Linked DNA regions of Arabidopsis thaliana. The main gene of each other region encodes a partner of the protein of the gene in region 3 in a complex. Each region holds a gene or a part of one and is shown on either strand. Other genes may lie near its edges.

Evidence for each region.
Region 1: SERAT2;2 (region 3) and OASB share a complex: the UniProt entries of both Arabidopsis thaliana proteins name them as parts of the cysteine synthase complex.
Region 2: SERAT2;2 (region 3) and OASA1 share a complex: the UniProt entries of both Arabidopsis thaliana proteins name them as parts of the cysteine synthase complex.
Region 4: SERAT2;2 (region 3) and OASC share a complex: the UniProt entries of both Arabidopsis thaliana proteins name them as parts of the cysteine synthase complex.

The regions. Positions count from the first base shown.
Region 1 is NC_003071.7:18,128,807-18,134,557, forward strand, and holds OASB (O-acetylserine (thiol) lyase B), read right to left. Parts: upstream 3,833-5,751; 5' UTR 3,517-3,832; coding exon 3,274-3,516; intron 3,088-3,273; coding exon 2,978-3,087; intron 2,891-2,977; coding exon 2,833-2,890; intron 2,730-2,832; coding exon 2,466-2,729; intron 2,196-2,465; coding exon 2,058-2,195; intron 1,926-2,057; coding exon 1,874-1,925; intron 1,789-1,873; coding exon 1,709-1,788; intron 1,602-1,708; coding exon 1,542-1,601; intron 1,414-1,541; coding exon 1,333-1,413; intron 1,036-1,332; exon of another isoform or gene 891-1,035; coding exon 798-890; 3' UTR 629-797; downstream 1-628. Other genes in the region: AT2G43745 (jacalin lectin-like protein), read right to left, coding at 53-85, 172-549; AT2G43760 (molybdopterin biosynthesis MoaE family protein), read left to right, coding at 4,470-5,066; AT2G43770 (Transducin/WD40 repeat-like superfamily protein), read right to left, coding at 5,466-5,751. UniProt on the Arabidopsis thaliana protein: Acts as a major cysteine synthase.
Region 2 is NC_003075.7:8,517,153-8,522,405, forward strand, and holds OASA1 (O-acetylserine (thiol) lyase (OAS-TL)), read right to left. Parts: upstream 3,445-5,253; 5' UTR 3,180-3,444; exon of another isoform or gene 2,985-3,179; intron 2,915-2,984; exon of another isoform or gene 2,912-2,914; 5' UTR 2,899-2,911; coding exon 2,866-2,898; intron 2,779-2,865; coding exon 2,669-2,778; intron 2,582-2,668; coding exon 2,524-2,581; intron 2,444-2,523; coding exon 2,180-2,443; intron 2,089-2,179; coding exon 1,951-2,088; intron 1,854-1,950; coding exon 1,802-1,853; intron 1,673-1,801; coding exon 1,593-1,672; intron 1,486-1,592; coding exon 1,426-1,485; intron 1,339-1,425; coding exon 1,258-1,338; intron 1,150-1,257; coding exon 1,057-1,149; 3' UTR 808-1,056; downstream 1-807. Other genes in the region: SECE1 (secE/sec61-gamma protein transport protein), read left to right, coding at 96-629; FdC1 (2Fe-2S ferredoxin-like superfamily protein), read left to right, coding at 3,735-4,199; AT4G14900 (FRIGIDA-like protein), read right to left, coding at 4,607-5,122, 5,225-5,253. UniProt on the Arabidopsis thaliana protein: Acts as a major cysteine synthase, probably involved in maintaining organic sulfur level.
Region 3 is NC_003074.8:4,213,829-4,218,305, forward strand, and holds SERAT2;2 (serine acetyltransferase 2;2), read right to left. Parts: upstream 2,475-4,477; 5' UTR 2,287-2,474; coding exon 1,111-2,286; 3' UTR 571-1,110; downstream 1-570. Other genes in the region: ABCC7 (multidrug resistance-associated protein 7), read right to left, coding at 1-345.
Region 4 is NC_003074.8:22,071,230-22,077,113, forward strand, and holds OASC (O-acetylserine (thiol) lyase), read right to left. Parts: upstream 4,188-5,884; 5' UTR 4,117-4,187; coding exon 3,760-4,116; intron 3,600-3,759; coding exon 3,490-3,599; intron 3,404-3,489; coding exon 3,346-3,403; intron 3,216-3,345; coding exon 2,952-3,215; intron 2,690-2,951; coding exon 2,552-2,689; intron 2,425-2,551; coding exon 2,373-2,424; intron 2,274-2,372; coding exon 2,194-2,273; intron 2,043-2,193; coding exon 1,983-2,042; intron 1,862-1,982; coding exon 1,781-1,861; coding exon of another isoform or gene 1,768-1,780; intron 1,532-1,767; coding exon 1,445-1,531; coding exon of another isoform or gene 1,432-1,444; exon of another isoform or gene 1,035-1,431; intron 905-1,034; coding exon 890-904; 3' UTR 719-889; downstream 1-718. Other genes in the region: AT3G59750 (Concanavalin A-like lectin protein kinase family protein), read right to left, coding at 1-68, 155-592. UniProt on the Arabidopsis thaliana protein: Acts as a cysteine synthase. Plays a role in the sulfide detoxification in mitochondria.

The DNA.
Region 1 (5,751 bases), on a different chromosome or scaffold from region 3:
GAAATGTCAAATTTCTGATCCCTCCACCATGCTTTCTTAGTACTCCACTTAATCAAGTTACATATTCGTCTTGATTCAGTCTCAACTGCGTTTAAACTTCATCAAAAACAAAACTTGACCGGATCTTACGCAAACGCAAAAATAAATAATTGTTATTGACACAAAACTTACAACACGAAAGTTGGAGCCCTCCTCAATGCCACCATGCTGTTTAGACAGGACTAGAGCTCCATTCTCCAAAAAACCAAACTGAATAGACATTATGACTTCGTCGAAAGCAACATATATGTGAGAGATCTTGCGTCCCTCGTAATCCCAACTATCGTCACCCATCACCTCTTCTCCAACACCGTCGTCCCAATAAGTATACTCACATGTCGATTTTTTTCCCACTGATCCTGCTCTTATCATCGCTATATAAGAAGCAGGCACAGAGTACAATAGTTTTAAGTGGAAGGAGAGATATAGATAGGCGAAAGGACGATTATATAGGAGACTGTCTTGTCCAAAACTCGAAGAGTCGTCATAACTTTCATTTATGGATTCCATTGGGAGAAAGCTAAACAAGTTTCCAGGTACATTAAACAAAACGCTCGAAAATTGTGCTCAAGAAGAAGACTCTTCGTTTGACCAAAACCTCTTATGCCTTTATTAATAACAAACACCAAATTGCGTTGCGAATTGTAAATATACACAGTAGACGTAGAGATTTCTGCAGAAACGTCTATTAGAAGAAAAACAATCAGCAATAAATCAAAGAAGAGGTTCCTTGTTGGTCACGAAATTACAGAAGAAAATCAAAGCTCGGGCTGCATTTGCTCGCACTCTTCTCGAATCGACTGGAAAAGCTGGGTCGAGAGGTAACGTTCCCCGAAGCTCGGGAACACAACCTGAAAACCAAGATTCAGCAACTCACATATCAAACTATACATATGATGAATCTGTTATATTTTTTACTCCATACTAAGCTAAAATCCTTTCACTGATTCCCTACGTTGGGCTATAGTAATTGAATAATAAGCTCCTCTCTTGTTCTTTGCAATGACTAGGGTTTGGTGTGGCAGAGAGATTAAGCTCCTCTCTTGTTCTTTGCAATGACTAGGGTTTGGTGTGGCAGAGAGATTAAGGCAACGTAAACGTTCATTAGACGTATAAACCAAACCAACTACTCAAATACAAATGTTAAAATAAGTAGTAAGACTCTAAAAGGACCAAGGTTCATGATTAGATAACTTAAGAACTCTTTTTCTATATCATTCAGTGGTTGGTCACAGATACAAGACTAGGTTTTGGTCCATAAAGAAATTATGATGAAGAACATTGAGGACTTACGGCTATGAGTTTCCCGGCATTTTCAGGTCTCTTTGCAACCTGGATTGCAGCAGCAGCAGCAGCTCCAGAAGATATACCAACCTGAAAAGGTTATAGTCGTTTACTAATCGTCATAGATTTCTCATATGCATTTACATTCGTTTTCTATCTTTTATAAAGAGTGTTCCCACTAACAAATAAGTCAAACAGAATAACAAATATAGACTAACCAACAAGCCTTCCTGGAGAGCTAGTTGCTTCGAGGTTTCAATAGCTTCCTCACTGGAAATCTGATAAGAAGCAACAAAACAGGTGAAGTTAAAAAGGAAAATTGTTGCTTGCTGAAAGTGAAAAAGATGAATGTATAGTTATAGAGAACCAAACCAACAGATCATACCGCTATGTATTCATCTACAATAGCCAGATCCAAATTCTTGGGTACAAATCCAGCTCCAATTCCTTGAATCTTGTGAGGTCCTGCATTTCAAATACATGTCAAATAAACGCAAGATAAAAAGAATAACGTGCCAGAGAAACAAGAAAAACAAAATCACTGCCTTACCGGGTTTTCCACCAGAAAGTATAGCACTTTCCGTGGGTTCGACACCAATAACCTGGTACAAGTAAACATCAACTAATTAAATATAACTACAAGTACAAGTAAACATCAACTAAATCTAATTACGGAGGTTATAACATCTACAGTTGATTCCAGCTGATATGCTACAAGCCCTCTTGCTATGTACCTTCAATTCAGGTTTTCTTTCTTTAATGAATCGACCAACACCAGTGATAGTTCCACCAGTTCCAATCCCCGCAACCAATATATCGATTTTGCCTCTTGTATCTTCCCAAATCTCAGGACCAGTCGTCTCATAATGAATCTGCATTTAATCTTATATCAAAACACTAACAAATACTTGCAGCTTTTACCAATGGAACCAGTGAATCCCAGATATAATCGTGATGATTCAAAACTGTATACCATAGAAACTCTACAACAATCCAAAAGGAAGTGCGGAAGAATTTCACTATCATCTCTAATGAACCCTTTCACACACCACCTCTTACTACTGTACAAGGCCAGAAGTAATCGTAGCTCATAATTCATGTCACAGTTAGAGAGTATGATGAAACAAGAAGTAATTACAGACCTTGGGATTGGCAGGGTTGTCAAACTGTTGGAGCATGTAGGAATTGGGAGTTTTTTTCAAGATTTCTTCAGCCTTCTGAATTGCTCCAGTCATACCTTTTGCAGGTTCAGTTAACACAAGCTCAGCTCCAAATGCCCTCAAAAGAACCCGCCTTTCCAAACTCATGGACGCAGGCATCGTCAAGATAAGTTTATAGCCTTTTGAAGCAGCAATGAATGCAAGGCCAATCCCTGTGTTCCCACTCGTAGATTCCACAAGAACACTCTAAAACATTTGCAGCAAGAAAACAAAATCAGAGGGCTTGACAGTTGACACTCAATACAGAATCATTCAACAACAATAAAAGGTCAAATCCATAATCAAATACCTTTCCAGGTGTTATAAGTCCTTTCTCTTCAGCATCAGTAATCATACTGTACCCAATCCTGAAATCACCACAACAACACAAGCTCAGAATGTATAAATGTGAAAGATAGCAAAACCAAAATCAAATTATATTTGGATACACAAACCTATCCTTGACACTGCAACATGGTTCCATGATCTCAAGCTTAGCAGCAACACTTGCAACACAGCCCTTGACTACATTGTTCAAGTACACCATCGGAGTTTTCCCAATAAGCTGAATCAATTCATAACATTCAGAAAGAATATAAAAAAATTAGAAACGAAATCAAAATTCAAAGAAGTCAAATTTACAAGACTAATAATACTCAGTTAGTTTATATCTTCCCCTAAATTGACAAAATTGATCACCAATTTAGATTTCCTCTGTCTCTATCCAAATGCAAACGAAACACAATCTAACCTGAGCGGCGTTATCGGCGATATTGAGCCCTTCAACACCAGCTTCTGGCTTGATAGATACAGCCTTGCACACAACATCACTCCGGCTCTGTCTCTTGAGCGTGAAAGCAGCTGAGGAAACATCGAAAGCAGCAGCCTTTCGAGAGGATAAGGAGAGAGAAGAGAGCTCTGGCGAGTATTTGAAAGGACGGTGGCGAGAAGTCAACGGATTAAGGAGAAAAGCAGAGGAAGATGTCGCCGCCATGACTTGCTCTTTTGCTTCAGTGTATCTTCCTCACTTTCCGAATATTGTACACAGAGAGAAGTAGAGAGAGACTAGAGATGCGGTTTAAACTTGAAGACACTGACTGATTAGATGATCGCACTGTAGCTGCAAAACGACGTCGCTGTTTAATTTCTAAATAAAAAAATCATTTTGGCATCTTCTTTCTACAAGATTTATCCTTTTTCCTTGAATGGTAAAACAGAGTATCTGGAGAAAAGAAGAGACTTTGAAATTGAATTAGTAAAGTTTTGTTTTTTACAATCTCACCAACCTACTAGTCTGATCCAACAAGAAGGTGAATATAGAGCACATGTTCTTCTTCATCATGCAGCCCTACCAAACTCTCAAAGGTCAGATAAAATCTTTCTGGATCTCTTTTTGTTCTTTGCCTTCTTTTAATTTCTGGGTAGCTGTTAAAGTTATTACAAACTTTTAGTGTAGTAAGGTACTGAAAGAGACGATTCTTCTTTGTCGTTATCTCTGTCTTTCTATGATTCTATCCATTCGATCCTCAATCTTACAAAAACTCGAACTTTGGTCAGTTTTGTAGACGAGTTTTGTGCCTTTGCTGTTTTTGTCTGATTCAATAAAAATTGACCGATTTGGCAAATTCTTAATCCGATTTGAGACATCGTTTTTTGAGTTTGTTCATTGGTCCACTATTCTCCTACTTTGTTGATTTGACTCTTCCATTTCTGGATTAGTAAGATGTGATTGCCATTAGATTGCGCAAGAAAGGTTCCTCATTTGCTCTGTTTGCCTTTGACTAAACAAATTGTCTGTTTGATTAGTTTTGGATGATAGGTGATGAGATAGTCATGGTTGTTTATTTCCTCCAATTGCAGGTTAGAATTTGCTATCGGATCATCTGCTAAGCTTGGTTTACTCTTCCTAGAACATCGATTGTATCGAGGTTTACTATTGGATCAAAGATGTCTGCAGAGGAGAAGAACCTTATAGAGATCTTGGAGGAAGGTCACAAAGTCGATGTTGTTAAGTACATTGATTATGTCAGTGCCCCTCAAGCTGGTGCTATTGCGACATTCTCAGGCACTACAAGAGACATGTTCGAGGGCAAGACAGTGTTGGAGTTAAGGTATGAAGCATATGTGCCAATGGCCACACGATGCCTCAGCTCGATCTGTACAACTGCTAGATCAACTTGGGATATCCACAAGATTGCTGTTGCTCACCGTCTTGGACCAGTTCCTGTTGGAGAAACTAGCGTGCTCATTGCGGTCTCATCTGTTCACCGTGCAGATGGTTTAGATGCTTGCAAGTTCTTGATCGACGAGTTGAAGGCATCGGTTCCGATATGGAAGAAAGAGGTTTACACTAATGGAGAGATTTGGAAGGAGAATTCTGAGTTTATGGAGAAAAGATTGGAGCTTGCAGAGAAAAGAGACAGCATTGTAAAAAAAACTGTGGTTGAAGAACATAGAAGAAGAGGTTGCTGTGGAAGCAAAGTTAGAGTAGAAGAAGATGAAGAGCATAAAGATATTACAGGAGATAACAAATCTTCTTCTTGATCACTTGTAGCAGTAACACTGTTTCGCTTTTTACTTTCAATAGACAAACTTTCTTAAGCACATTGTTGAATCTAAAGACTTATATGCGTTAGTTGGTTACTGGACTGGGCTTATACTTGCTACTGCTTGAATCTGTAAGAATCTAATCGAAGATACTGCAAGATTGTAATACCAAAGATAACAATTTTAAGGAGAACTAAAATGATGACCTCATCTGTTAAAGTAGAAGAAGATAAAGAGCGTAATGAAGATATTACAGGAGATAACAAATCTTGATTACTTGTACCAAAGAGCAATGTTTCGTTTTTTCTTTCAATAAACAAAATGTCTCAAAGCACATCGTCGATTCTAAAGACTTCAATTCCACTTAGAGTTGCAAAGGTTTCACAGCTTTGAAATTCAGATCTCTCCCAAGTAGATATTTTTATCACTACTGCAAGATCCAATGATAGGCTCGGTTGGGTGGAAAACACACTCATTGACAGAACCGGTATGGCCTGGGAGCTTATATATAGTGCGCCGACTGGTTGTGTCCCAGATATGAACCATACGGTCTGAGCTACCGGCAGTAACTTTTGTACCATCAGGTGACCATGAACATTTCAGCAGGTTCTTCTCAAAGTTGTGTTGATGCCCCTCAAAGATCTTTACACATCGGTTTTGTGGAGCATAAGGACGCATGTCC
Region 2 (5,253 bases), on a different chromosome or scaffold from region 3:
TTGCTGTATCTGATCATTTACTTCAGTCTTCAGATATCTGAATTATCCACAAATCTAAAATTGAGAAAACTTAAAAAAGTTCCCAATTTCGAAAAATGTCACTAACCGCACAATTCTCGCCGCCGGTCACCGGAATAACCAGGAGTCTCCGGGATACAAAACCGTCACTGTCTAATCTCCGTGTATTTCCGGTTTACACTGAGATAAGAACTATGACGACGAGTAATCTGAGGAAATCGGCGTGTTTTGTGGCTAAGGCTATAGAACAGAGACGAGATACAGCTGGATCTGAATCGGAATCAGAAGCGACTCCGTCACCGGCGGAAGAGAGTGGAAGCGGAGAAGATAAGGAAGTGGAGATTAGCGCGATAGGAGCAGAGATAAAAGCAGCGATGGAGCAGAGGAAAACGGCGGAGGAAGAGAAAGGGAAGAACGAGTTTCTTAGTGGAGTTGCGGAGGAAGTGAAGGAGATTGAGTGGCCGGCGTTTCAGAAAGTTCTCGGAACTACCGGCGTCGTGCTCGGTGTTATCGCTGGCTCTAGCGTCGTCTTGCTCACTGTCAATTTCCTTTTGGCTGAACTCTCTGATCGAGTGTTCATCGGAAGAGGTGTTCAAGACTTCTTCAGCTGATCCTGTGAATTGAAAATGGTAAAATTTGTGTGTACAATTTTTAGTGATTGCAATGAGAAATCGAAACATTGTTGATTTGTGTAGATGATGATAAAGAGAATTATCGGAATCACTCCTTTTGAGCATTACCTTCTTCTTATCCTAATCTTATATTTAGCCTGAAATATTGACTTGGGTTATGTTGGTTTAGTTTTGATCATGAAACAGTATGATACTTATGAACAAAGTTACATAGCAAATTTAAACTTCATTAACAAGCAAGTGGTTCACAAAAGAAACAGAGAAAATCTAGTTTGACTTTTATTGGCACACAAGAGAAGATACAGATGGAAGCAAAGACGCAATGTAACTAAAGATGAAGAGTCTCTATAGGAGAAACTGAACATCTCTTTTATTTTGGCGTCTCTTAAGAAGAAATGGAGAATGTTCAAGCCTCGAAGGTCATGGCTTCCGCTTCTTTCCTTGTCGCATCGAAAAGTACCGTTGATAGATACCTCTCCCCGAAACTCGGGAATATCGCCTGTAAAATAATTCAGTTGATTTCGTTTACATCAGAATCAGAAAGAAATCCGGGTTATGTAATCAGAGCTTATTGGCTTTGGGGTGATGATAGAATCAAAGAGCTTACCACAAATAGCTTCCCAGCGTTTTCTGGCCTCTGTGCAAGTTTAATTGCTGCAGCAGCTGCTGCACCGGATGATATTCCCACCTACAGTATAGCTTTTGTTTTTAGAAACAGAACGAAGTTGTAATTCTGATGGAGATAGCTTTTTGTTGTGAAATGTGAAACACTTACAAGAAGACCTTCTTTAAGAGCAAGCTGCCTTGCCATGTCAATGGATTCATCACTTGAAACCTGTTGAAAGCGTTACAGGAAAATGGAGAGAGTCAAGTAAGAAATGAAGCTCTCTTGCATTCAATTGTGTTTTGCTATCAGTCGATAATATCGAAAAGCAGTCTTACCTGAACAACTTCGTCAATAAGATCAACATTCAATACACTTGGTATAAAACCAGCTCCTATCCCTTGAATCTTGTGAGGACCTTGATATTTTCAGCAAACATCATGTGTTAGGAAACTCCGAGGATAAAAAATAAGACATGAGGCAAACCGAGAAACGAGGAACATGCATGCATGGTTATCGTAATAAACGCAGGGGGAACCAAAATCACCTGGCTTCCCACCGGATAGAATAGCACTTTCAACTGGCTCCACTCCATACAGCTAACAGAAGAGGAAACAAAATGAGAAACCGTGCAAAGACACACCACTTAGTCACTTAGATAACAAAGCCAGTTGTTCGAAAAGATGGAGCTCTCACCTTGACGTTTGCGTTCTGTTCTTTAAGATACTTCCCAGCACCTGTAATGGTACCACCAGTACCAATCCCAGAAACAAAGCCATCGATTTTGCCACCAGTGCCTTTCCATATCTCAGGTCCCGTAGTCTCATAGTGGATCTGCATTTGACAGTGAAATTCCATCGACTTAATATGGTTCAAAAACAGACAAAAACAGATACACTAAAGCAATAGTAAATAATAAGCATACCTTAGGGTTGGCAGGGTTCTCAAACTGCTGAAGCATGTAACCATTGGGTGTTTTCGCCAAAATCTCTTCCGCCTTTGCGATAGCTCCTTTCATGCCCTTAGCTGGGTCAGTTAAAACCAACTCAACTCCAAAAGCTAAGAGAATGATTCTTCTCTCAGTACTCATAGAAGCTGGCATTGTAATAATAAGCTTGTAGCCTTTGGCAGCTGCCGTGAATGCTAACCCAACTCCAGTGTTTCCACTTGTTGGCTCAATCAGCACACTCTAAAGAACAAACAAAAAGTCAGAAACAATGAAAACAAAAACAAAATAGTGGTTTGAAGATTCAGATAATCGAAACTGACCTCTCCTGGTTTGATAAGACCCTTCTTTTCTGCATCAGAAATCATGCTAAAACCAATCCTGCAGAAATAAACAAAGTACAAGGTCTTCACAAAACCGAAACTCGAAGCGAGAAACAACACATAGTTTCTGGACTAGAGAAGAAACCTGTCTTTGACGCTAGAGCACGGTTCCATCATCTCAAGCTTAGCAGCAACACGACCAACACATCCTTCAGCAACATTGTTCAAATACACCAATGGAGTGTTCCCAATCAACTGCCAAATAGAATCAATCAATACATGAACATGGAACAAAGCTCACTCCTTCGTGAAATGAACAGTGAAAGAACTTGAAAGCCTTACTTCAGTCACATCTTTAGCAATTCTCGAGGCCATGATTCAAGCTTCACTGCTTAAATTCACAAAAAGAGAAAAGTAAGACCAAAGGAATAAATCATCCTCAAACCAAAAACACATCATACAAAATCATCAAACATAAATCTCCAGATGTATGAGCACCAATCCAGTTATACAACACTCTTAACACCAAATCAACAGATTTAACAGCGAAATAAGCTTAAGCCCATACAATTATCCGATCCAAACAAATATAATCGAAACCGGCAGAGGAATAAGCAAGTGAATCAAAAAGTATGGGACGAGGAAGAAGATGATACCTGAATGAGAAAGTCAATAACCTTGACCCGAATCGTTTTGAAGAAAATGGAGAAAATCGGTTGTATGGAATAAAATCTTCGAATGATGAGATATATGATCTCTTTGGTGTCAGTCACATGGCACACGCTATCAATTTAGAAAAACGCGGTGGTTGGTCACCAGAATTACTACTTCTCGGTCTGATTTGGTCATATCCGTATTAAGTCCGGTTAATATTTTCCATAACTGGGGTTTGAACATTCGGTTTCTTTTTTTCAGTTAGTCCGATTTGGAGTTTTGAGTATGGAAAAATAATACTGAATTTATTTGTTCAAACTGTTTTGGAAAAAATATTTCCCTTAATTACGAATATAATTAAAATTTTAAAATTCATTTTATTAGATCTTGGTTAATTCGGTTTAATGCATTAATGAATTTCGGTTTAAGTCGGTTTTCGGTTTTTATGTCCCACCACTATCTACAACCGATGATCAACCTTATCTCCGTATTCACCACAAACAGTCATCACTCTCACTTGACACAAAAACTCTTTTGTCTCCGTCTCTCTGTCTCTCATGGCGACTCTTCCTCTCCCGACTCAAACTTCTACAATCTCTCTCCCTAAACCTTATCTCTCCAATTCCTTCTCCTTCCCACTCCGTAACGCAACACTCTCAACAACAACAAACCGCCGGAACTTTCTCACCACCGGAAGGATCATAGCTCGGGCATATAAAGTGGTGGTAGAGCACGACGGAAAGACGACTGAATTGGAAGTCGAACCAGACGAGACGATTCTATCTAAGGCTCTTGACTCTGGCCTTGACGTTCCCTACGACTGCAATCTCGGTGTTTGTATGACTTGTCCAGCGAAACTCGTGACCGGAACGGTGGATCAAAGTGGTGGGATGCTAAGTGATGATGTGGTTGAACGTGGCTACACGCTTCTATGTGCTTCGTATCCAACTTCTGATTGTCACATTAAGATGATCCCTGAGGAAGAACTCTTGTCTCTCCAGCTCGCCACTGCCAACGACTAATCATCTTCTTGATTTAGACTAAAGAAGTCTTTTTTTTGGTGTAATACGAACACTTTGTAACGAATCTTGCTATGAGACTTCGAAATCTTGATTTCAATGAGCCAATACAAACAGTGATACATAACATAATCACAGTGAAACATTCCTGGTTTAAGATGAATCTATTAAGTACTGAACTAAATTCGTTGATTGAAACATTAGGAAAGTGAATAGATATGTATAATTTAGATTAATAAACACACAAGGGTAGACTAATTCAGAACCAGAAAGAGTGAGAGTGTTAGCTACAAATGATACGATATAAAAAAAGAGAGATTACAACAAAAACGAGGTAGAGACAAAACGTAGACACCAGAGATCAGTGGTTGGTTACTTACCATCTTCTTTTTTCCTTTGTCATTGTCTAATCAGTAGTAAGCATGCTGAATATGGTGGTGGTGGTGCGGGTGAGGATGGTAAACTGGAGGGGGTGGAGCAGCCACCGGACTGCAGTAGGTACCATATGCTGTCGGATAACTGACCGGAGAGGTTTGGTAAGAACCATGAACCGCCTCGGGTGAGTATTGGTATGGAGGGCTCCTGTTGCTGTAGATGGTAGGTGGGGATGTGGTGTATGCTGGTACACCGTATTGAGGTGAGTGACTTTGGGATCTGATGAATGTTGGTGGAGGCGGTGGGAAAGAGGAGACGTAAGCGTTTGTGATACGCCCTGCTTTGGCTGGTGGCATTGGACCGCTGTAGCTTGCTCGGGTTCTCTTGTTGGCGGGAATCACGGCTGGTTTTCTCTTCTCGGTTTTGGTCTTCTCTAGCTGATCCAACCTCTTCTTGAGATTCTCGGGTGGGAATTCTTCCTCGAGTTTGTATTCTTCTATGCATTTTAAGACTGCTCTAAGTGCTGATTGCTCTTTGCGCGCCACAAGATGCTAGAAAAATACACACATACATTGGTAAGCGAGTGCAGAAGAAACAGATCCCTGCAAATGGATCCAGCAAAGAAAACGAGTAACACAAATGGAGGAAAGTACCGCAGATCGGCCAGAATTGTTGGAATCAT
Region 3 (4,477 bases):
CCAAGAAAGGGCTGTAAATAAAAGATCTAAGAGAATCATCAGTTCGCTGCGATCCCAACCATTTTTATGCAGGTTGAAGCAACTTAACAGCAACAACACAGAATTCAAGGCAGACAAAGTCTCACAACATATAACGACCAGTTTATTGTATGTTAAAGACATATCCTTAAACCTCTCATTCGTGAAAGCATCACTATTTTCCCAACCCAACCTTTTCTTGTAAACACAGGAACCAAACATAACTAGCAACAAAAGAAGATTAAAGAAAATGGAGAACATTGGAAAATAATTGGACTCAAGGAGGAAAAAAACGATAGGATTGTCCATCGCGTAACTCTGTTTCATTAGGCAATGGATACGAGAATATTGTTCAAGACTATCACGATGGACAGTATATATAGAGAAGTCGTCAATAAATATATTATTTCGAAGACAAACTCTTGAGTGGGGAATAATTTATAATTCCTTGACGTCTCAACGTCTTCCCTTAGCTTTTTTAATGCTTCAAACCTCAATTCCCAGAAATTCAAATGAAATTTCTTTGAGAAAACATAATATTTTAAAAAGTTTCTCCGCAACAATCCAAAAAGATCGAGACGATTTCATGGAAAATACCACTCCTATCTAACCCCACCACTTTTTCTACAACAAGTTTTAACAGAAACAGATGACACTTACAGAAGAATAGGTAGAGTTCTAGTTGATTGTAGCAAGCAATCCTGGATCCTGACTAGTCTTGTTATAATTTCCTAGAAAGCTGTAGTAAGCAAAACAAAACTCAAGACAATAATGATGAATCTTCAGTTTCTTCCCAACAATCTGATCACAGAAATCATGGTTTAACCAAATAAGCACTTACATACTAAACATATCTTAAGTCTCTGCTAATCAGAAACCAACCACAGGAAACTCCACTAAACAGAGTTCAGAGTTTCCGAGTTTACTTTCCAATCCCATCTTAATCAGTGTTATCTTATGGAGAGACAAATGATCTGATTATGGAAACAGCATCATCGCATATCATATACTTCACCAGCTTCAATAACAGAAGAAGCCGAGAGAACAATGAAAAGCCATAAACAACAACAACAACCAAAAACAAAGACTTTTTCAAATTACATAATCCGACCACTCGGATATATGCGACGTCTGGTCCATAGTCAAACCAGGAATCTTGTCATGCGTTTTCGGATTATCTTTACCACCAAGCAACCTCGCCGGATTTCCAACAGCCGTCGTACGCGGCGGCACGTCTTTCAACACCACCGACCCCGCACCAATCTTAGCTCCTTCACCAATCGTGATATTCCCCAAAATACAAGTCCCAGCTCCAATCAAAACCCCATCGCCAATCTTCGGGTGCCTATCTCCACACTGTTTCCCCGTTCCTCCAAGCGTAACGTTATGGAGAATCGAAACATTGTTCCCCACAACCGCCGTCTCACCGATCACAATAGCCGTAGCATGGTCTAGCAAAATCCCGGTACCGATTTTAGCTCCAGGGTGGAAATCAACAGCGAAGGCTTCAGAGACTCTGTTCTGGATCAACAAAGCTAGGATTTTTCTGTCCTGAGTCCAAAGCTCATGAGCAATACGATGCGCTTGACAAGCGAGGAAGCCTTTAAAGTGAAGGAAACAATGAACGTAGCTTATACAAGCAGGATCTCTCTCCTTAACAGCTAAAAGATCTAGCTTGACAGATTCAACAATATCTGGGTTTCCTTGAAGAACACCAGAGAACAAATCGAAAAGCGTGTTGCTTGGAAGATTCAAATTGCTGAGTTTAACAGATAAAGTATTCGCCAACGCAGCTTCCAACGAACGCTGAGAAACAATCGAAGCGTGATAATAAGCGGAAACAATAGGTTCTTTGGCGATATCAGATTTAGCCTCTTCTCGGATTTTGGCCCAAACATCATCGACTTCAGCGTCGCGATCGAGATCTTCAAGCAAAGGACGAGTATGGAGGGTTTTGGTCTGGGTTCCATTGAAGGAAGATCGATCAGGATAACGGAAGTAGTTCATGTAACGAAAGCCAGATTCATCGTCGTGGTGTTTAGAAGAATCGCGAGGAGAAATCTGGGGTTTACCAGTGCGGCAGGTGTCGATGCACGCAGCCATAGGAGGAGGAGGAGGAGGAGAAGGAGGAGGAGATAAAGTATGGTGTTTGAATTTGGAGGAAACAAAAGAAGGAAGAAGGAAAGAGTGATGATTGATGTGTGGAGAAGATGAACGGAGCATATATAGGGACATTGTGAAGTGGCGGCGACTTGTGACCGGCAACATTTTTTTTTTTTCTCGGCCAAACAAAAAACGGAAGGATGTGAACAAATTTATGTATTTTGGAGATTGTTTCTCTCTCTGTCTTCTTCTTTAGATTTCTTTCCTTTTTGAATTCGATTCCTAATTTTTTTTGTATTAAAATTTTTTGACTGTGTGTGAACACTAGTGGCCACTAGGAGTGGAGAGACTGGGTGCCAAAAAAAGTTATGAATCTGTTGGTATTTTTATTGCAACTTATATAAGAAACTAGATAAGGTCAGGTGTAAGATGTAAATATAATTTTTTATCAATAATATTTAAATTTTGAATAGTAAAATAATAATTTATATATTGTTTTGATATATAATTTTGAATAGTAAAATAGTAGTTTTATGCATTTTATTTTATTATACTCATTCAATCTTATTGATGATATTTGAAGTCTAAATAGTAACATACACATTTTTTCTTTATTATAATTTAGTATTTAGAATAAAAAAACAAATTTTTATCTTACACATTCAATTTTGTAATACATTTTAACTATCTATTTCATAAAAAACTCGATTTTAATTCTACACACTTCATCTTACTTGATAATAATTTCATGTCAAAATAATATTTATATGAGATCAAATCTATATCTTAGTTAATATTAAAAATTATTAACAATTAACAAAACATAATTAATAATAATACAAATTTTGTTAATACCATATATATTAAAAATTTGACCAATAACATATATATATTTTTTTTGTTAATTATCCTTTTGGTTAAGAAAAATAAAATGTAATCTTTTTTAGATATAGTCATATGAATTAGTATATGTTAATAATGATTTATTTTTTAGTTATCTAATTCTTTAAGAAGAAAAAAGTTAATTGATTTCTTTTTTAGTATTTCTATTTTTTTTAAAAGAAAAAAGTTAATTATTTTCTTACACGTATCAACATCTGATCGATAGACTTGACACGTGGTATAATCGTATGAGTTAGTAACTTTGAAAACCATAATTTATATAATAAGATTTGTTTATATTTTCTTTGGGATTTAATTTAGAAAAATGTGTGTAATTTATTTTTGAAAAAAAATGGCATAGCAAATCGAATCATTGTTTTAATTCTCGTGCGATTGAATTAACAAAAATTAAAAGGACATATATGTCGACTGTCGTAATAAAGTAGCACTTGTTTGGTAAAAGAATTTTAAAAAACACATGTTTATTATCATTTTAAATTGTGGTCAGAGTTTTTGTGTACATCTTCTTTTCGGGAGTGAGGCTCATCTATCACATGTTCTTTTTTGTGACACCTACTTTTTTTTGGTTACCATCAACCCACTTTTTTGTTGTTCATTCTTTTTTGTATATACCAAAACAACAAACTATAACGACTAAAAAATAAAATTATCACAATGAAAAGAAAAAAAAGAATATATTATCACAATTCACTATGACGTGAATACGAGCAAGTGCAATCCCATACAAGTGAAATTTAATTTTAAATATTTCATTACCTTTGTTCAACACAAGAACTATATATTTCATTGCCACCTTCGAGATATATAAACCCTTTTTGTTAGACGTGTATAATAGACCTTTCATAAATCAATTTAAGACTAATTTGACTTAACTAGTGTTGTTTAGTAAGGTTTATATATGCCTAGTTGCTTATATTTTTAGGTAAGAATATATGTTTTTTTTTCATTTTGCTTTGAGTTTTATGCTTTGTGGTTTTAATATCTTTTTTTTTTCTATATGGCTTAGACTCCAATAATTTTTTGTGTTCCTCCCGTTTTTGATTCCGAGTATTTATTCATTGCATATCGGCTTTAGTTTCTCTTTTTTTTTTTTTTTTTTTAGTCACTCCCGTGTGTACTATATACTTAATTTCAACAAATTTATCAATATCAAATCAGTTGACAAAAACAAAGAATAATTTGATTTAACTTTGGTGTTTTTGTAATTATAAAATGAAATAAACGTGACGTATGTAATGACAGATGACTTAGTTAGTCTATAGATCCGTGAAGCCATCGTCCTATTTTCAAGCCAAAGTCACTTGAATTTATCATGTGGCTCTCGCTCTTTCTGATCAATTAAATAGCTTTATCAATTAACATAATCATATGATGTGAAAACCAAAAAATTAACATAATAAAAAGCTTATATGTTAAAACGAAGATATTTGACTACCAGCGACTTAATAAACTA
Region 4 (5,884 bases), about 18 Mb from region 3:
TCAGCCGGGAATAAAGTAACATTGAGCTGTTGATCAGGATGACTATAAACGATAGAAAGCCGCATTACCTTTCCGCTGATCAAAGAAAGATTTCTGAAGATTCCATCTTTATCATCATAGTAACCAGCAGAAGCAGAAACAACAGATGTCAAACCATTGCAACATGATTATCATCAATATCTCCGAACTCTTGGTCTTTTTGTATATCTAACTCGATAGCTATAACGTGGTTTGATGATTTACCGTTGGTTGTTTCATTGAATAATCCGAGGTACTGATCGGAGGAAGCTCCTGGAAGGCCTGCTGTAGGAGAGATAACGAAAGACATGCCATGTGAACCGGACTGTGTATGCTCAGGTACTATTCCAAAGAGGAAGTGGAAGCTGAAAGACGAATCTTTTATGGGAATGGATTCGTTGTTGAAAGTTTGACCGCAGGAATGCTTCTTGGTGTTCGTTAAAATGGTGTCACCAATGGAGTTGTCAGCTGCAGAGCCCTCCAGGGTCCAGTTTCCATTGGAGTTGTAAGTAGATGAAGACAGAGTATAGAGCAGAACAAGAACTATATGCAAGACTTTGAGTTCACTAGGCATGTTAGGATTTTTTTTGTTTTTGCTTATGGGAAGAAATTGATCATATGAGATATTTTTATCATCTCATTGAGAGTTAAGTAAGAGTATAAAAGAATTCCAAACTGCAAAAGTAGGGTCGAACAAAATGGAAACGAACGTTCACATGGATTTCCGCGTTGTTCATATTAAAAATTTATGTATTTACACACACATGGGGCCTAAACCAAGTCGTAAAGCAATTAAGATAATAATCTTCCAATCTTCATTGGATTCAAAGCAATTATCGTGGGATTGGTAGAGCGTGTCCTAATCCTAATATTAACCGCTGACTCTCTGAGCATTAGAAAATATATGGATCAAAATTTCAAAAAGACGGGATTTTTCTATGATCTTAAAACTGTGTGAAAACTGGAAAACATCAAAAAGTACTTTAAAAGCAATAATCGAACAAAGTAAGTTTCACATCCAAAGTTTTGACCACAAAATTTGTATTAAAAATAAGTTTTTGACATGTTTTAGAGTTAGATTCTGATTTTATTTTTTTCTATTGGTCTACATGAAAAAGTAAAGTTATATCACTAACCTATCATCGTTGATCATTATATATGAAAATACTCATGAAAGTTAATATTTTTTAGGTTAACAAGAAAAACAAACAAGGGATCAATCATCTTGTTCAATTCAATATAATTAAGCATTGGGATTTCCAACAGAAAATGTTGAGTAAAACATAGACTAGTGTTGGATATCCAAAATAGAACTCAAACCACATTCACTAATGCCTTATTGATAAAAATAAATTGCTTAGCACTCAGACTGTAATTATGGGAGAAAGAGCTTTGCAGAAGTAGACCAAGTTGCTAATGTTCATACCTCAGGCTGCATTTTCTCCACCTCTTCCCGGATAGACTGGAACAGCGGGGTCGATAGATATCTCTCCCCGAAGCTCGGGAAAACAACCTGAAAAACCGCATTCATAGATTCATTAACAGTTACCTACTTAGAAGATTTAACAATCTAACTAGCCAAGTGACTATATTGTTGATTCTTTGGTTTAGTATTGGATCACAGACTCGGGAGACTTTAATAATCCTCAAATCTATCTTAAGATGAAATCTAAAGCAATCCATCTATATGTTGCACAAAGACCCCTTGCACCACCTTTTTGTTTTCAAGACATAACACATAACTGAAACCGAAAAGACTTACAGCTATGAGTTTTCCAGCATTCTCAGGTCTCTTAGCCACCTTGATTGCAGCAGCAGCTGCAGCTCCAGATGATATACCAACCTGACAAGATTATTACATTCACGTAAGAATCTTGTGTAATTTCCACCTTTCACATGCAACATGACACCACAACATCCGTGTGGTTCCCACTCAGAAATCATAAATACTGCAAAGAACTAACCATCAAGCCTTCCTTAAGAGCTAGTTGCTTTGCGGTTTCTATAGCTTCCTCACTTGAAATCTGGTAAACGCAAAAAGAAGATAGTAATTGATGAAGTTTGAGTCTCAGGAATTGGAAAATTTAAGCAATAAATTGACACAAGAATTGTGGATGTTTTGTGGAAACCAGATAAATTGTATAACCATACAGAATCCAACAAAATAAATCATACCGCTATGACTTCATCCATAATTTTCTGATCCAAATTCTTAGGTATAAATCCAGCTCCAATTCCTTGAATCTTGTGAGGTCCTGTATAAATGCAAGAGAAAGCAAAATACGTGAATATAAGATCATATTTCGAAATCATGGAAACAAAATTACTGATTGATATCTATTGGCAAGCCTTACCCGGTTTGCCACCAGAAAGTATATCGCTTTCGGTGGGTTCTACACCAATAACCTGGTACATGTAAACATCGAATAGTTAACTACGAATTATATTGCTTGAATGAACATACAATACTGTCTAAATAACACCTGAAAATGTACTCCAGCTAAGAATGAAACCATTGAACTTTTGCATCTACCTGCGTTTTGGGATTTTTCTCTTTAATAAATCGACCAACACCAGTGATAGTTCCACCAGTTCCAATTCCTGCAACAAAGATATCCACCTTGCCCTTTGTATCATCCCAGATCTCAGGACCAGTAGTCTCGTAATGAATCTGCGTATATTCAAACTTGAGTTTACAAACGTGACAAGAGAACCTCACAGAAGATCATGCCGATTTCAAAGGATCAGCCACTTCCCAATTTGCTTGTACAGTTTAAGTGAAAACCACTTCAGTTACACACTTGTGGGCATTCTCTAAATACAGATGAGTTTCTGGTTAACTCTAACTTAACATTTCATTTCTCTTCTTATGGTACATGACTAGAGCAAAAACCAAATCATGACACAAATAAGGAAAAATATAAACCACAAACCTTTGGATTTGCAGGGTTGTCAAACTGTTGGAGCATGTATGCATCAGGAGTGTTTTTCAAGATCTCTTCAGCCTTCTGAACCGCTCCAGTCATGCCTTTAGCAGGATCTGTTAATACAAGCTCAGCTCCAAATGCCTTTAAAAGAACCCTTCTTTCCATACTCATGGATGCTGGCATTGTCAAGATAAGTCTATAGCCCCTTGAAGCAGCGATGAATGCTAGGCCAATACCCGTGTTTCCACTTGTAGGTTCCACAAGAACACTCTAGATCAATGCAGTAAGGACATGATTAACCACCAGAAATAACAGACTATAGATTGTACAACTTTATGTGTGTAAAAGCTGGTCTCATCCATTAAACTTTACAAAAGACTGATCAATCTATAATCGATACCTTTCCAGGTGATATAAATCCTTTTTGCTCAGCATCAGTAACCATACTGTACCCAATCCTGAATCCGTGAAACATAAAAGTTAGGACTTGAAGGGACTCAACTAAAAACATACAAACAAGCCACAAAAGACTTAAGCTACAGACCTATCCTTGACACTGCAACATGGCTCCATGATCTCGAGTTTGGCAGCAATATTTGCTACACAACCTTTTGCTATACTGTTCAAGTACACCATAGGAGTTTTCCCAATGAGCTGAATCAAGCCAAGAACAATGAGAGATACGTAAGTAAATTCTGAACTATTTAAAAAGCTAATCAAGTTTCAAATTTTAATGGACAATCACACTTTCGCCAACATTCCCATTAGAGGAAAGCTCAAAAATTTGATCACCAATTTCAATTTCAAATCTAACCTGAGACACATTGTCAGCGATGTTGAGTCCATCAGGTCCAGTCTCGCGCTTAACAGCCTCACACACAACAGACGGATCTCGTTCCGAACCATCAGCAAAACTCCGACTCTGCCTCTTCATCGCTAGAGAGAAATCAGAAGCGGAGGAGAAGGAGAGAGAAGAGATCTCTGGCGAGCATCTGAAACGACGGAGAGTAGAAGAAGAAGAAGAAGAAGTCAACGGATTAAGAAGTAAAGCAGAGGAAGATGTGGCGGCCATGGATGTGTAGCAGCTTCGGTTTCCCAAAAGTGTAGACAAGATTTGAGATGCGAGCTTAGCTTCCCGGTTAAACCTTGAAGCCATGATCATCGCCACCATGATCCTACTTTTCTATTTTCTTGGAATACGACGTCGATTGGATTTTCAGATACGGTCCATTTTTAGACCAAGCTTTCAACTTTATATTAAGTTTCATTTTTATATTTTATACATTTTTTTTTTAATCACCAACCAAGTGAAGTGCACTGACCAAAAGCGAACGTGGAGAATGTGTTCTTATTCGTACCTTCATACCTCTCAAGTGTTGCATGAATCTTTCTGGTTAACTTTTTTTTTTTTAATGTCAAATTCATCGTCTTGGATCCGTTGCCGTTAGATATTCTTGTTCTTGAATTTGACATTGTTTGGTTTTGGTTTGGTCAACAAGGAAATAGTCAGTAACAAAGGAACCAAAAGCTTCTGAGAAAATGTAACTTGAAAAGATTCTTCTTCTTAAATTTGACATTATTTGGTTTTGGTTTGTTCGATAAGGAATCAGCTCATCTTAAGCCCGTATAACTGAGTCAAACAATGGTAGGCGGTAGCAATTAGCCAATTAGGGTTGTCTTAATCCGAGCTACATAAACTCTAACAAAAGCGTTCCAACACTCAAAAAAAAAAAATGTAAAACACCTGAACAAACACATTCACCGTTAAATTTGCACAAAGACAAAAATGGGCCTTAGAGCCGACACTAAAAAGGCCGTTAAGCAATGAATAGCCACATTAATCGTTCCACGCGCATTATTCTCACGGAAATATGCCGTTGTTGTACCTTTTTTTTTTTCTTTCTCGATATTTTCGTCCATTAGTAAGTATCTTCTAAGACTTCTACATCAATAGAACATTAAATTATGATCAATTACTATTTTATTGGGTAACGAGTAACCACATCAATAGAATCTGATTTCTTAACCATTCGAAGTACAAACTGTAAAAGTCTGAGAAAATTGGTTGTTTTTCGTTTGTAGTTATGCAATTTTAAGTAATGTCTGTAAAATACAAAAATTTTGTTATACAATTTTGATATATATATTATGTAAGAGTTTCATGAAATTTATGCGTCAAATTCACTTAAAAAACTATATACCAAAAGTCTTACCATTTTACATTTACTCTATATATTCAATAAAAATATAATTTAAAAGGTATAGAGACAAAAACAACACAGAGAATTCACTTGCAAACAACAAGTGCTTAAACTTTATTTTTATTGATAATAAACTCTTTAACAAGTATTATCTCGGAACTTACTTGACATATTCTACCTGAATGAACAACCCCGACTAAGGAGAATTAAGTTTAATGAACAACCCCTGAATGAACAACCCCGACATTTTCTACCTGAATGAATAATTAAGCCTAATTGTCCTCTATTTCTTATCAGCCGCCCGTGAAGACAAAAAGAACTAACACTAAGAACAATTAAGAATAATTAAGCCTAATTATTCAACTCGACTAAGAACAACCCCGACTAATGCTTTGAAGTTTACAAATTGTACAATGCTTAAAGCCTCTAGAAGCCTAAACCCTAAGATCTCCAAGGGTCTTTGATATCCAACAACTTCCTGAAATCCAACACGTCGGCATCAGCTGGTTGAAATTTGCAACTTCATAATTCATGAATGCATTTTACTCATATTGTTTTTAATCACATTTTTGCTCTAGAATACTTATTACCCGAGAACGCATTTCGTTTATTTTTCGACTATTCAATATGATTTGACGAAACTAAAAAGTGATATAATGTTTGAGTATTCGACTGTTTTTGGCTAAACTAAAATGTGGTTTACAAACGATTGATTAGAGATATTTAGGTTCGTATCTC